Linked DNA regions of Oreochromis niloticus. The protein of the gene in region 1 purifies or fractionates together with the protein of each later gene. This does not show direct contact. Links are inferred from orthologs where the notes say so. Each region holds a gene or a part of one and is shown on either strand. Other genes may lie near its edges.

Region 1 (3,926 bases):
AGACATTTTTCTTCCAAACTCCACACACTTTACCTTTTCAGCAGATCGCACACCTGGCTGGAGCTCTGATACAAGATGCAAATCAGAAGGCTAAAGGAAAATAACATCCCAAGTTATTATCATTATTTTAAATGTGACTGTTGCTAATGAAGCACGGGCTGTATTTTTGTGCCTGTGACCTTTTAACAAGCAGGTTTTGTTGGCTGTCTGAGCTCTGATTATTCTTTCACAGACTATTTGACCTGCAAACAAGCCCAACAGTCTGGCACTGGTGATTTATGATATTATCTTTAGACTCACAAAGACAAGGCTGTAAAACAACCTCTGATTGTCCCCTAAAAGGCACACCAGTTGATTTAAAAGAGCTGAAGGAAGTAGGCTACTTAGTACTTTACAAGTAAATATTTGGCTTTTTTTCCATCTTTTGAACTGACACCTTGAACTGATTTGTAAACCTGAGTTAGAAAGACTTTAGTGTCCGTTATTTCATCTTTTGCAACTTTCTGTTTTGTTCAGCTTATGCAGTGGAATGGTTTGTTGTGTGCACTGAATCAAAGGCCCTCGCTCCCCCTCTGCCCTCTCCACCAGGACCAGATGGTGTCTCTTTAGGCATTCTAATGAATATTGATATGAGGGGTCTTAGTTAACAACAGGGGGGAGGGTGCATATGTTGGGCCAGAGACCCCCCAAAACTGGCATGTAGTAAAGGTCTGTGGTGAGGGGAGTGGGTGTGCAGGGGATTTATATCTGAAGAAAAGGAACGTTTGCAACTTGCAACAAACCTCCTTTCATATGCCCGTAAGCTCTCTCTTGTCTCATATTGGTAAGATATTAATATGGATTAGACAGTGATGAGACTGAATTAGTTGCCTGGGTGATGTCATCCAGACACTTGAAGATGAGATGCAGAGCAAAGATGTGGTGCAAAGTGTGACATGGCATAAATTTGTAAGACGGCAAGATGACAAAGGTGAGGTGAGCAGGAGCGCAAGGTGAGGAGATGGACAGGTTAATCTGGTGACAGAGTTAATCCTCTGGCACGGCTCCCAGGTTTAAAGCTCCTGAACGCCTCTGTGTATTCCAGCCTCGGCTCACCACACTGAGGCTGAACCACCGCCAGCACCCCGGGCTGGGCAGTCTGACCCCGGGGCACTGGGGTGCAGATTTCTTAGCTCCACTTTTATTTTACCAGTGCCAGGATTCCTGTATGTGGAGGGATAGCAGGTGAATGATTGAAGGTAATTGCATTACTACACTCCAGCTGGTGCAGGCCAGCTGTAGCCCCCTGCTGTGACCCTGTTATTGGGGAAAAACACCCATTCAGGGGGCAAGAGAATCAAAGTGCTGCATCTTCACCAGCAGGAAAGCAATCCCAGGATGCAGTACTGATCGTTTGTTTGGAACCAAATCCACATTAACTGAGTTGTCCTGAAGCCGTGTTATATTTCATACCCTCTGCAGTTTGTCAGGAAACATTAGCAGGAACTCATCCGCAGACAGATGATGAACTGAGGCGCTGTCAGCTATTTATAACTCAAATTAGACTTTGTTAGATATAAGGCTAAAGGGGCAGGCAGGAAGAAGGAAGAACTATAGAAAGATGTAAAGGAGGCGAGATTGGCAGAGACAGGCAGGGGAGTGAGGGTACTGGGAAAAAAGTGATGCAGGGAGACATAAGAGAATAAAACATACAGAACACTGGAACGGCGTAGCTTTTCAGCATGAGGACACAACCTTTACTGTCAAATGCAGCCCCCGTAGCCCTTAGATAATGAGACACAGTGTCAGACACATGCATACTGCTGAAGGCTTCCAGTAGGGATGTAGACGCTTCAAAACTTTAGATTATATCAGTCACCAAGCGGGTAGTTTTAGCTTTTGTATTTGTGATAGTCAATATGGAAACCTACAGTACAAGCTGTAGAGTCTTCAGTAGAATATGCAGAAATTAGCTCTTATATTGGAATATTTTTCATGGGTAGCTTTGTTTTAATTAACACAAGGAAGCTTTAACTGGGTTTGCACTGGTGGAGTGTGTGCACAAAGCTCCGCACGTGTCTATCTATACTGAGTGAAGTGGGGGCTGGTCGCCTCCTGAAAGCCAAACTTTGACAGCCGTCTTGCTGGCGGGAGGGGTTCATCATTTGACAATGGGGAGGGAATAGCAATGGAGGGAGCCTGTGTGTGCAAAATAGACACGAGAGAGAGAGGGAGCAGCGGGGGAAGGGAGGAGGGTATCAGACTCGGGGATAAGGCAGCTGGGCTGAAAGCAGATCTCATTGTGCGCTTGTCCTTCCCAAGTCCCTCCAACTCTCTGCAGAAGCACCTGCGATCACTGCTGTCGAGCTCTGCAGTCGAGGCATGCGGATCTCAATCGCAGGTCAAATTGACAGAAGGACGACTTGTTAGACTCTGTTTTGCTTTACTCTGGCGTTCTGAGTTTGGGTTTTGTTATGGCGCTGGTGTAGGCATGGTTGTCTACTTGAGGAAGAGCATCCACTCTCTGCTGTCCGTCTTCAAGAAGAAGGGTGAGTGCCGGCTCACGTGGAGGCTGCAGTAAATCTCTTTAACTTTGCTGTGATTGATTGTTTAACCAAGCTTTTTATCATACTAAATATACCTGCAAAGCAAGTACTGTTTTTAATTTCCACTGACATCTATCTCAACAGTTCACAAACACAGACACACCGATGTGTAAGAATTAGTGTTGAAGGTAATTTGGAGGTCCTGTCTAATGAGATAAAGCTCTTTACTGACTTTTTTGGGGGGAATCGTATTAATCAGCCCAAATCCCTAAACCTCCTGGAGGGGTCTGGCAGAGTATCAGGGAGGGCTGCTTCTTCGGTTATTTGTAGCTACTGGTTACAGTGTTACATATGTGAGTAATTGTCATGAGATGCTCACAGTTGTCAAGTGAAGTTTATAGACTAAACTAAATGTAGTCCAGACTAATTGGGAGCCAGTGGGAGTGATAAAGGAAGGAAAAGGAACACCTCACGCTGATCCTTGCTCAGCTAAGATTTTAGCAAACTTGCATGACTGATTTCCCATGGAAATGACTTCCCAGTTCATACACAGTTGTGCAGGTTTTCATGGATTTGTGGTTCAGAAACCTAGATGTAGCTGCCATCACTGTGGTTTACACCAAGAAGGCAGGAAGCCCCAATTTTATTCCACATGCCAAAGACATGCATGTTTGGTCAGTTGATTCTATGTTAGCCAAAGGTTTGTATTATTGCTTTTCTCTCTTTTTGTTTTCCTTGTGATGGACTGGCAACCTGTCCAGGGTGCCTCTTACCCAGTGTCAGCTGGGATCAGCTCCTTAGCTGTCCTTTGACGTTGAGCAAAGCAGTCCTGCGGAGAGAGCGAGCTCGGTCCAGTTCCCACACAGGAGGTCCTGCCAGCAGGGTTTCTTGCAGCATCCTTACATGCGGACAGATTATCGGCAGTAATCCCTGCAGGGTTTACAAGGAAGCAAGATACTGCAGGAGATTAGCCAGGCCATAGTTTACTGCCGAGGGCCTGGCCAGACTGGGATGTCTGCACGCCAAAGTTGGATGAGGAGATTTAATAAGTGCGCTGCATTAAAGGTGCACAGATAAACGCACATTCTTATCAGCTGGAAGTGCAAGAAGTTCTCAGTCAAGTTGATAAATGTCTGTATTTATGCTAACACCATTGCTTTCATTGGGATAGTGCAAAGAGTTGATGTCTCACTATTGTTTTAATTCTGAATAATTCTGGATCAATGCTGTTGCCAAAATTCGTAGTTCTGATGTTAAAATATGTGTGAATAAAGGTTCTGTCACACAATAGGGTTCCACAACAAAATGTTCCACTAAAACAAATTGGTAGGTACTCGATATAACTCCAGTTCTGTGAGTGTGTAGCAGGGGCGATTCTAGGATCAGAGCTTTGGGGGTGCT
Region 2 (3,926 bases), on another chromosome or scaffold:
CTAAGGGCAAGACTAATTTACCTTTTCCATATTAGAATATTATGTCAGCTGATGAAATGTCTTTTAAGGATGAATAATTGAAATAACTTTCTAATTTCTCTGTGATGTTGCTCATATATGTATCACCTTTATCATTTAGTGCCGTTTAAAAATAATTAAATATATGTATTTCACACAACTGCATAACAAAGTAATCAAATGCCACTCATGTTATATTATCAGTTAACTAACTAGATGTGTAACCCAGCACACAAATATTCAGACTTACCTCGGGTGCAAACATGGTTTCATATGTTGGGTTATAAGTGACTTCTTTCAGAGCAGGGTCCAGGTGTATGCCCGTCTCAACAGCCTCCTAAAATCGGGATTCGAACAATGAGCAAACGAGCTTCTTGATAAATGAGACATGCTCTAGGTTGGTAATTCGCATGTTTTGTTTAACACAATCACAGGTGAGATTTAACTAGTACAGTGTAAGATACATGAAGTTGGACCTTAAGTTACACAGAGATCAATCAGTGTGTATTTTTTTAGAATTAGCTCAGGAGTAATTCTCCGGCCTGCATAAAATTTCCCCAAAGATTACAACACACTTAGCGGAATCTTTCCCGCTTAGTACTACTAGAACAAATCTGTAATTTTAGAAAATAAATAACTTCTAATTACAACACCATATTTCCACAGTAATTTGAATAACCTTTATTATTATGAGCATAACAAGTAAGTAAGCCAGAGTTACTCCCAATAATCTAATTATAAAGTGAGGTTAACGTTAGCTGCTTAGCTTAGCTTACCTTGACAGCGACCTCAGGGGCAGAATTTAAAACAGCCAGAGACATACTGTTCTCCGACTGCAACGGTTTAAGGTGAGCCGTAGCATCCGGATCGACTGGGTTCACTTTTTCAACACTTGTATTAGATTCAGACTCATTTTCTGAATCGGAATCACTGCCGTATGAAACGAGGGAAGCTATGGCTGCAGACATCTTGGATGTTGTGAATGCGGCGGAAGCAGAAGGGCGGTACTTCCGTTATAGAAATGAAGAAAGAATTTATAGATAATTTATTATTCTCTAGAATTAAGAATTTAAAGAGCTATAGCATTGCATCTTATACGTATGACCGGAATTATTAACTTAAAATTATTAATTCATTACATTCATTAAATAATGTATTAATTTATATATTTTGAAGACATTCATAAAACAGATATTTCAGTAGGCTAGAATATTACTCATATACGTATTACTTTGCTAGAATTAGAATTATTACAATTAACATTTTTAGGCAAAACTACCAAAATTATGGCCGCAGTTTGTAAAATGAGACGAAATACTAACAAGGCAGTATTTTGTTTTTCAAAATAAACAGTCAGTATGTTGTTTAATGTGTTGTTGTGAATATATTGATTCACAGTGTGATTTTATTTTCTCTCCAACTGTAATGTTTGAAATAATCAAAATCAGTGTCCCTCCCTGAAATCGATTGGACAGCACAACACCACGGTTTGAGATAATAAGCCAATACCGCGAACGCGCACGAGCCTCCCACGAGTACACATCAGCAGCATGGGACGTTTTCTCGCGCCCCAACAATAGAGTGGTACGTACCATTATTACCGATTTCAATGGGGACGTTTTCTTGTGGATATACGTAATTTCACACTACTTCTCTTAGAAAGAAAACAAATGTCGCATACGGGTAAAATACAAAGTGGTTTTATGACGCGAAACCTGATGTAAGCTTAACCGGACTAGCTTTATTGGCAATTTAATCAACATTTGCCCAGAGAATCCCTTTGGAAAAAAAGTGGCTGGATTCATCTCCGCCGCCGCCTCTTCCAGCAGGAGTACATTTGATTACGGAGACAGTACAACCATGGATCCGACCCGGGGATTTAAATTTTTGGACACGGTGGCACACTCTGCTGCTCAGTAAGGATGGAGAGAAAATAAGAGGGGTTTTTTTTCTTCTTACAAACGTATCAGGTAAATAATTTCTTTTTAAATTTTGCACTGCAGTGCATCATTTAACTGCAAAATGGGACTTTAGTAACGTTATGTTATCGCTATTAGCACAGCAGCAACTTATCGTCATAAAACCGAGTCACCGTGTTGTAACATTAGACTTAAACTGGAGCTGCTCGACTAATAACGGTCTTGGTAATTCAAAACTGCCTGGCCATCACTGACTCCCACGTTTACCCGATGTACAGTTGACAAATGTGGCAATGAGAACAACGCTAGGCTACCAAAGTGGTCAAAATCCCACAAAGTAGCCTACCAGTAGTATTTTTATTTTTGAATGACTAAAGGAGGAATTGGTAATGGGACCGCTGGGTGATAAATTGCAGCTTGCAGCTGCACATCTGCATGAGATCCCGCTGCAGCGTCTTGACATAGTGAGTCTGAAGAATATCACACTAGTGAGAAAAGCAGAGAGCAAATATTTGCAATGCTCCCCAATTAACCCAACGTGGATAAACTAATAAATAAAAAGACGTAGAGTGTGTTTTATTTGTTAGCGAGCTTGTGGAGTGGGCAGTTTGCTACAGTGTGATGAAGGGAACCACGGACACCGGCAGTTAATTTTATAAGAATGCATTGATTTGCCTCTGCGAGGCAGAGGAGGAGGACAGGGGTTGGGGTCTATTCCAGCCAGCTTCGTTTGCAGTCATGGGGGGATGGTAAGCCTTCAGCCCAGTGAAAATCATGCTGTGTGAAATCCGAAACCTTCTTTGTACTACTTCAAGTGCAACAAGAAAAGTGGGCACGAGGGGCATCGTCGCTTTGTGACCGCTGTGCAGTGATCAGCTTTTATATGTAGTGACAGCACGAATATGTGCTTTGATACACAGGAGGCCGGCTAATATGGGCTTTGCACTTCATCAAAGTGAGCATATTTTTTCCACAGCCTGTCCAGTTGAGACAAACTAAGAGTTGGGTCTTTGGATGCTGCAGGTAACTATTGCCTGCTGAGTGGCCAGCAGCATATTTCATGGTTTGCCTCTTTTTAAAATGCAATAGTAAAGGTAAGAACAGCCTGTAGTGACAGTGTGGGTTCAGCTCTGTGGTCGATGATGAATTAATCACCTTTAGAAACATCAGCTGCAGAGCTATTGATAAAAATCCATGTATGCCACTGTGGATGCTGCTTCTGACAGTGGATTAGTGTGCCTCTAATGTGTTAAAATAACAAATACGGGAGCGAGGCAAACTAGGGTTTACATGTGATGTGCAGGAAATTAATAATTATTCCTTTTTCCCCCTAATAAATAGTGAGGTTAAAAAAAAGAAAGAAGCTATTTATCCTAGAAGGCTAGACATCTTGTCCAAATCAACAAATGCAGAGCTCTCTACACTCACATTGCCTTGGCTGTGATTCAGTGAAATGCATAAATAAGACTTAATTCCTTGATTTGATCAGAAGCTGCATTAATAATTAATGCAAATAGAGAAGATGTTGATGCACAGACTCTTTCCAGATGACCTTAAATATTTCCCTGTTATATCAAATTAGCCCACATCAAACACTTTTAATGCTTCTGGGAGATATATATATATATATATATATATATATATATATATATATATATATATATATATATATATATATATATATATATATATATATAACCATTAGTGAGATGCCTGGTAAATTTCTTGACACAAGCTTTATTTGTCAGTATCAGAAATATTTCTGCTCAGGGAAAAAATTTAGGGAAAAAAGACATTTGGCTACAATCAGTGAATACCCACCTAGCTCCACCTGAAAAAGACTTTATGGGCCAAGAAGATCTGTGATGGTCCTGTATGATGACTGGAGCAGAAGAGCTCAACTTCAAGAGAAATACTACTTTAGTCATGTTCTGGTCAACTGTATGTGACCGGAACTGAGGAAGAGTAAAATTTACAGTAGTGCAGTGA

The links.
Region 2: the proteins of nhsl3 (region 1) and wasf1 purify together in Homo sapiens (affinity purification with mass spectrometry; 3 studies listed by BioGRID and IntAct, with this or other methods). This does not show direct contact. The link is inferred for Oreochromis niloticus from reciprocal best matches to the Homo sapiens genes NHSL3 and WASF1.

The regions. Positions count from the first base shown.
Region 1 is NC_031985.2:28,095,063-28,098,988, forward strand, and holds the start of nhsl3 (NHS-like protein 3), read left to right. Parts: upstream 1-1,222; 5' UTR 1,223-2,167; coding exon 2,168-2,528; intron 2,529-3,926. UniProt on the Homo sapiens protein: Able to directly activate the TNF-NFkappaB signaling pathway.
Region 2 is NC_031980.2:10,623,657-10,627,582, reverse strand, and holds the start of wasf1 (wiskott-Aldrich syndrome protein family member 1), read left to right. Parts: upstream 1-1,504; 5' UTR 1,505-1,602; intron 1,603-1,619; exon of another isoform or gene 1,620-1,988; intron 1,989-3,926. Other genes in the region: cdc40 (pre-mRNA-processing factor 17), read right to left, coding at 269-355, 795-986.